Linked DNA regions of Callithrix jacchus. The protein of the gene in region 2 purifies or fractionates together with the protein of the main gene of each other region. This does not show direct contact. Links are inferred from orthologs where the notes say so. Each region holds a gene or a part of one and is shown on either strand. Other genes may lie near its edges.

Region 1 (3,603 bases), on a different chromosome or scaffold from region 2:
GTGTCATCTTCCCAATATCAAATGCAGATACATAGAAAGGCAGTGCATCAGGATTATTTTGTAATTTCTTTGATGCCTACTACCAGAGAATATTAATTTTGTTCATTTTTCAAAATTCATTTGTTTTCGAAGCAAGAAAAAGAAGAACAGCATCAGTTGGCGGTTACTGCATACCTAAAAAATTCACGAAAAGAGCACCAGCGGATCCTGGCTCGTCGCCAGACAATTGAGGAAAGAAAAGAGCGCCTTGAGAGTTTGAATATTCAGCGTGAGAAAGAAGAATTGGAACAGAGGGAAGCTGAACTCCAGAAAGTACGAAAGGCTGAGGAAGAGAGGCTGCGCCAGGAAGCCAAGGAGAGAGAAAAGGAGCGTATCTTGCAGGAACATGAACAAATCAAAAAGAAAACTGTCCGAGAGCGTTTGGAGCAGATCAAGAAAACGGAACTGGGTGCCAAAGCATTCAAAGATATTGACATTGAAGTGTGTAGCATTTTAGTCGTTAAAAAACTTAGTTTTATCCAGGTCTTTTATACGCTTAGAACCATAGTCCTTTGCCATTTGTTGGCTTATTTTGAGTTATTTTATGCATTTTGGTACAGCTGGTCATGACTAAATCTGTGAATAAGCATATGTTTAATCGCTCTGTGCAATTTGTTTTTTTTTTTGAGACAGAGTCTCACTTTTATTTCCCAGACTGGAGTGCAGTGATGTGATTTTGGCTCACTGCAACCTCTGCCTTCCGGGTTCAAGCGATTCTCCTGCTTCAGCCTCCCGAGTAGCTGGGATTACCGGTGCCCGCCACCACGTGCAGCTAATTTTTGTATTTTTAGTATACGTGGGGTTTCACCATGTTGGCCAGGCTGGTCTCAAACTCCCAACCTTAGGTGATTCACCTGCCTCAGCCTCCCAAAGTGCTGGGATTACAGGCTGAGTCACCGTGCCTGGCCTGCTCTGTGCAGTTTTAACCGCTATATATTAATCACAGGACAGGTTATGTATCCCTTACCCAAAATGCTAGGGAGCAGATATGTTTCAGATTTTGGATTTCTTTGGATTTTGGAATATTTCCATATACATATAAAGAGATATTTTGGGGTTTGGACCAGAGGCTAAACACGAAATTCATTTGTTTCATAAGACACTTTTTTTTTTTTTTTTTTTTTTTAAAGACAGTCTCACTCTGTTGCCCAGGTTGGAGTGCAGTGGTATATTGGCTCACTGCAACCTCCGCCTCCTGAGTTCAAGTGATTCTCTTGCCTCAGCCCAAGTAGCCAGGATTACAGGCTTGTGCCACCACGCCTGGCGGCTAGTTTTTGTATTTTTGTAGAGATGGTGGTGTCACCATGTTGGCCAGGCTGGTCTTGAACTCCTGACCTCAAGTGATCAACCTGCACTTGCCTCCCAAAGTGCTGGAATTACAGGTGCAAACTACCATGACTGGTCTGTTTCATAGACATGTTATACACATGGCCTGAAGGTAACTTTATACAGTATTTTACACAATTTTGTGCATGAAACAGTTCTGAATGCATTTTGACTGACCTGTCACATGTGTTAGGTGTGGAATTTTACATTTGTGGCACCATGTTGGTGCTCACCAAGTTTTAAAATTTGGAGCATTTCAGATGAGTTTTTGGATTAGGTTTGCTCACCCTATAGTAGAGTATGGGGAGATGTAAATTAGAAGAGTGAGAAAAAGATGTGTGGATTTTTTTTCCTTACGGTCAAATGGAAATAAGGCTATTTTATGATACTTTTACATTTCCTAAATTATCACCCATTGTAACAATAAAAGGAATTTAGGATTTTATTCTAGAAAACAGTGAATTATGTTAGGCATTGCTTGTTTATCCTTATTAACAATTGTGCATTCGTATTACCTTTCAGGACCTTGAAGAATTGGATCCAGATTTCATCATGGCTAAACAGGTTGAACAACTGGAGAAAGAAAAGAAAGAACTCCAAGAACGCCTGAAGAATCAAGAAAAGAAGGTAAATGAAAGATGGGTAAACCCTTAACATACCAAGTTAAAAGAGATTTGTAGAAACGACGTTTGTTTTCATGTCATTTAGATTGACTATTTTGAAAGAGCCAAACGTTTGGAAGAAATTCCTTTGATAAAGAGTGCTTACGAGGAACAGAGAATTAAAGACATGGATCTGTGGGAACAACAAGAAGAAGAAAGAGTAAGTTTTTAATTTAATTGTAATATTTTTAGATTATAATTAAATCCTCTGCCAGTAATGGAACCAAGGATTCAGAATTGCTTTCAGAATCTGTTAGAAATGGTGCTCTAATGGTTGCCTATTAACAGATTACGGGATTATGGGTGTGAGCCACCGTGCCTCCCCCAACCCCCTTCCCCATATTATTATAATTTTTATTTTTATTTTTTCTTTTACAAATTGAAAGATGGAAAATTTCACGATTTAGGTTACAAATGAGTCTTGTAAAACAAAGGATAACTGAAAAGCTCATTTTACAAAAAACTGGTTTATATACACTTTATTTATTTAGAGATGGAGTCTTTTTCTGTCACCAGGCTGGAGTACAGTGGCGCGATCTCGGCTCACTGTAGCCTCTGCGTCCTGAGTTCAAGCGAGTCTCCTGCCTCAGCCTCCAGGTAACTGGGACTACAGGCGCCTGCCACCAGTCCAGCTAATTTTTGTATTTTTAGTAGAGACAGGGTTTCACCGTATTGGCCAGGCTGATCTGGAACTCCTGACTTTGTGCTCCCAGCCTCAGCCTCCCAAAGTGCTGGGATTACAGGCGTGAGCCACCGTGCCCGGCCCACAGTCTAATTTTAAAACATATATCAAAAAGAAGTTCTAAACCCATTAGCAGTAGTCATCTTTGTTCTTCCTCACCAACCCTGCCTTAGGCAACCACCAAACTGCTACTGTCTGTAGATTTGCTGATTCTGGACATTTCATATAAATGGAATTGTGTACTGTGTGGTCTTTTGTAACTAAATAGGTCATTCTGTAGTTTTGTTAGTTTATAGTATGTATTACATTTACCTGATGATACAAAAACAGGGTTTTACAAATGCTTATGGCAGCAAATATGTAATAAAAGTGAGTGAACAGACCTGGTTTAACAAAGTAACCGTAGGTGGTAGACAAACATTAGTGTAGAGTGTGATAGGAGAATGCAGCCTTTTCTTGGTTTCATCTGGTGGTTGTCACCTGGAGATTAATGGGCCTAGGATTGCCAGCTCTTCACATTTTTTTTTTCAGGAAAAGTTGGAATTTTTGTGATAATTCTCTTAACATGTAAATATTAAAAATTAATTAGAAAAGTGCCGCACACGAAATTGGGTTGATTTTGAGCTTTCTGTTTTTTCACGTAGGGCAGAAAGGAAATAGCCTTATATTATCCTGCATTAAATCCTGGTGTTTTTAAGGATGAAAATGCCTTTAAAAATTAAACCATGGCATTTGTTATTACTGTGTCACATTATTTTATTTTACTATATATAGGTACACCTCGTTTCATTATGCTTTACTTTATTGTGCTTTTGTGTTACCCAGGCTGGTCTCAACTATTGCGCTCAAGCTATCCTCTCAGCTCGGCCTCCCAAAGTTCTGGGATTACGGGTG
Region 2 (4,092 bases):
TCAAAGTGCTATCTTGGCCTCTCAAAGTGCTAGGATTATAGGAATGAGCCACCGTACCTGGCCATTATGTTTTCCTTTTTTGAGACGGAGTCTTGCTCTGTGACCTAGGTTGGAGTGCAGTGGCGCGATCTTGGCTCACTGCAACTTCCAACTCCCAGGTTCAAGTGATTCTCCTGCCTCAGCCTCCTGAGTAGCTGAGACTACAGGCACCCAGCACCACGCCCAGCTAATTTTTGTATTTTTAGTAGAGACAGGGTTTCACCACTGGTTGGCCAGCTGATCTCGGAACTCCTGACCTCAGCCTCCTGGGATTACAGGTGTAAGCCACAGCACCCAGCCTTTAATAATTCTTTTTAAGAAGGAAAAACAAGGAATTAAGTGTACTGGCTCAATGCAACAAGTTTCTATGAATTCAAACTATCCTCATTCTGTAGTCAGTTCTGACACCTACCTTAGTTCCTGAAGGTCAATGGGTCACAGTGGAAACTGGTATTGCTGCAAAGAATTTTTTGGTCTCATTTAACAGTTAAAGAGGGATATGAAGTTGTTTTATGTATTTTCACAGAGAATACACAAGATCCACTTCCCACATCAGGGAATACCGGTTACTTCACAAAGCTAATGTGATTGGAGAAGAGGAGAGGGGAAACAAATCTGATAAACCCCAGATTCCTCAAGAGCAGACTGAAAGATGTGACTTGTGCTTAGATACCAGTAATACCAGTACCAGCTAAAAAGATTCACTAAAATGAATTAAAGCAGATGAGGGTTTTCAAATACAAAAAGCAGACGTCTGTAATCCCATCTAGTCAGGAGGCAGGAGAATCCCTTGAACCCGGGAGGTAGAAGTGGCAGTGAACCGAGATCGAGTCACTGCAGTCCAGCCTGGGCGACAGAGTGAGACTGTCTAAAAAAAATTAAGAAAGAAAGAAAGAACACGAGGGTTTTCAAGGGGGTAAATATGGAAGAACAAGAGAATGGGACGTCACTGAGTAAATCCCTGTAATCAGTCTGAATTTCATTCAACTCAGTAAAAAGAAGGGCATGAATTGCTGTCATGTCGTCTTCTGCCTCTAAAGGCTCCACAAAAGTTAAGAAAACACAGATTTTCTTCACTAAATTACGATACTAAACTGTTAAGGTGGCAAATCCAGACCAAATAGGTACTTTATGCAAAGGTTAGTTTAAAATATATTTAGGACTTTACTAGCTCACTGGAGAAAAAATATGAACTTTTGTAAACTTCAGACACTTTCGGGCAGCGCCCAAAACTGAAGATGACACCTTGGTACTTCTAAGTTGCTAAGGAGTCTCAAAGGTTTTGACCTTGCTCTGCCAGCTGAGAGCAGTGTGGCCTTAAATAATGTTCCTCAGCTGGGAACCACCACCATCTCTCTACATTACCTCAAGATCAAAGGAGACAACATGCACAAAAGTGCTTGGTTAACTGTCAAGTGTTACACCAATGAAAGATGTTCAAATGCACCTCAATTTTCTCAACGTTTTCCAAAGCCAGCCATAACCCTTATCTCCTTTGTAATAGAGAAAATGAATTACTGGGTAAGAAATGAGCACCCAAAGATAGGTTCAAATAATGTTTTGAAGAATGCAAGGTCATGCCAGAGAAAACAAACTATATTCCCCAAACTAAAATCAATGCTACAAGATGTTAGGTCATCAATGCTCTTATAAGCCCATTAGAAATGTAACTAGGCTTGCATGGCACTGATATTCCCCTCCAAAGATGTCTAAAGAAGTAAGCAACTCCAGCCACTAGTAAGCATTATTTTAAAAGTACCTGCTGGTGGTTGTACAGTTATCAAAAAAAAAAAAAAAAAAAAAGGCTGAAATCTTGAAACCTACCACTGGAACTATCCAAATTCAACCAATATGGAAGCGCCAGAAGAAAACCTCATCTTGGCATATAGCTGCGCTGAGTAAAAATGCGTCCAACTGAGTAAGAGAAAAAAACCTAGAAAGAAATCTAGGTGCACACCCGTGCTTCTCCAACACGTGGGCGCACCATACTGGGTTCCCCACCCCCATCTAACTCCAATAGCACCAACCTCCAAGCCTAACAGACGTACCCTCGGAAAAGTACAGGCACGGGGCCACACCCTAGAAAGGGAAGAGCACAACCTAAAAGGACATAAGAAGAGCTCAACACCAGGGCGTAAAAGCTTCCTATCTGGGTTCTAGCGCACGCATAGAAGGCGCGCCCGTCTCCACTACCCTCGCATCTCCTACGGCGCACGCGCACCGCTGCCTTCCCCCGCCCCTCCACCGACTCGCACTGGCGTTCTAACTGCTGCCCCCCCCTTTTCCCCTGCCCCCGACTCCGGTCCGCTACGCCTCGCGCATCGTAGACGTAGTCTAATGTGCACTCGTCCGCGCACCAACCGCCTCCTTCCTTTCTCCACGCCTTCACGCGAGCACGGTGCTTCACGTCTATGAAAACGCCTCGCACCACCCGCACACCTTTCTGCGCCTTCTTCTTCAATTCAAGCCTGAGTCCACCATTACTGCCTATTCCAATCTCGCGCAGAAAGTGTGAAAAGAGTGTGAGGGGGAGGGGAAAGTGTCCTTCCCCTCCCCCCAAACATCCCGAAGCAGCAACCTAACATGGCCACGCCGCCAGCCTGCCGCAGCCCTCAAGTCGGGAAGGAACCGGTGCTGGCAGTTCCCCGACTCCAGGAAATAAGTGGATCAGGCTCGGAGGAGGGTTTCAGAGCCCAGTCCTTGGCCGCGCTCGGCTGCTCGCTCACCTGAGGCCGCCATGTTGGGAGAGGGAAAGAGAACGCAAAGGACCCGGATGAGGCAATCACGTGATTCTAGTGGGCGCGTCGGGCTAGGAGACTCTAAGCTGGGAGGGGGCGGGGAGGTGAGGACGGAGACAGGAGGCGGGGCGGCGCTGCTCTAGGTTCGTAAAGTTGCGCGGCGAGGTGGCACAGTGTCCAACGGGGAGACATGCGCGACATGTGGCCAAAGGGGTGGGTCCTGGGCTGTCGCGAAACCCCTCACGCTTTACGTAGGGCTACACGCGGACGCGGGCCCGGAGCTAAGCCCCTGCCGGCCTCGTGACGCGCAGACTTCCTGCCAGAGCAGGGGGTGGCAAGGGCGGGGCTTCGCTGCTGGTTCCGCTTACTCTGCTCTGAGACGCGTCTTGATGGATTCGGAATGGGTGTCCATAAGTGGATGTTAAGAAAGGGAAGATTCTGAGTTTAATGGTGTTTTTTTTTTTTTGAGACGGAGTTTCGCTTTTGTTGCCCAGGCTGCTGGAGTGCAATGGCGCGACCTCGGCTCACTGCAACCCCCGCCTCTCGGGTTCAAGAGATTCTCCTGCTTCAGCCTCCGGATCAGCTGGGATTACAGGCGCCCGCCACCATTACCCGCTAGTTTTTTGTATTTTTAGTAGAAGCGGTGTTTCACCATGTTGGCCAGGCTTGTCTCGACTCCTGACCTCAGACGATCCACCCGCCTCGCCCTCTCGAAGTGCTGGGATTACAGGCGTGAGCCACCACGCCCGGTCTAGTTTTTAAAGGCCACATCAGAAATTACTGAGTTGGTTTTATTTATTTTTATTTCTTGAGACGGGGTCTCGCCTTGTCGCCCAGGCTGGAGTGCAGTGGCGCAGTCTCCGCTCACCGCATCCTCAACCTCTGGCACTCAAGCAGTCCTTCTACCTCAGTCTCTTGAGTAGCTGCAATCAAGTATTTGTGTGGACACGGAGTGGGGCGGGGTGGGGGTCTCCCTATGTCGCCCAGACTGGTCTCGAACTCCTGGGCTCAAGTATTACCTCCCTCTGTGGCCTCCCACAGTGCCGGGATTACAGGCGGGAGCCCCCGGCCTGAGTTTGTTTTCAAATTACTTTTTGTAAAGGCAAAACAAATCTAACATCTGTAAGAATGGTTTTAATGAGACATGTTTAGACAGAATGACAAGGTAACAAATGGTGAACACTTAATTGCCATGGCTTTTACCTCCCTTAATTCTCCAGTTTACTGACTAGGTTTGGTAAAACTCAGGCCTTTAGGATTTCAGAGCCCAGGGCTATCCGTGCTTCACCTAGCTAATGTTCCATTTCATTCGTTC

The links.
Region 1: the proteins of EIF4B (region 2) and EIF3A purify together in Homo sapiens (co-immunoprecipitation; 3 studies listed by BioGRID and IntAct, with this or other methods). This does not show direct contact. The link is inferred for Callithrix jacchus from reciprocal best matches to the Homo sapiens genes EIF4B and EIF3A.

Annotation. Positions count from the first base shown.
Region 1 is NC_133513.1:112,008,911-112,012,513, reverse strand, and holds part of EIF3A (eukaryotic translation initiation factor 3 subunit A), read left to right. Parts: intron 1-132; coding exon 133-480; intron 481-1,887; coding exon 1,888-1,992; intron 1,993-2,073; coding exon 2,074-2,187; intron 2,188-3,603. UniProt on the Homo sapiens protein: RNA-binding component of the eukaryotic translation initiation factor 3 (eIF-3) complex, which is required for several steps in the initiation of protein synthesis.
Region 2 is NC_133510.1:66,554,509-66,558,600, forward strand, and holds the start of EIF4B (eukaryotic translation initiation factor 4B), read right to left. Parts: upstream 2,802-4,092; 5' UTR 2,779-2,801; coding exon of another isoform or gene 2,766-2,778; intron 496-2,765; 5' UTR 452-495; intron 1-451. UniProt on the Homo sapiens protein: Required for the binding of mRNA to ribosomes. Functions in close association with EIF4-F and EIF4-A. Binds near the 5'-terminal cap of mRNA in presence of EIF-4F and ATP.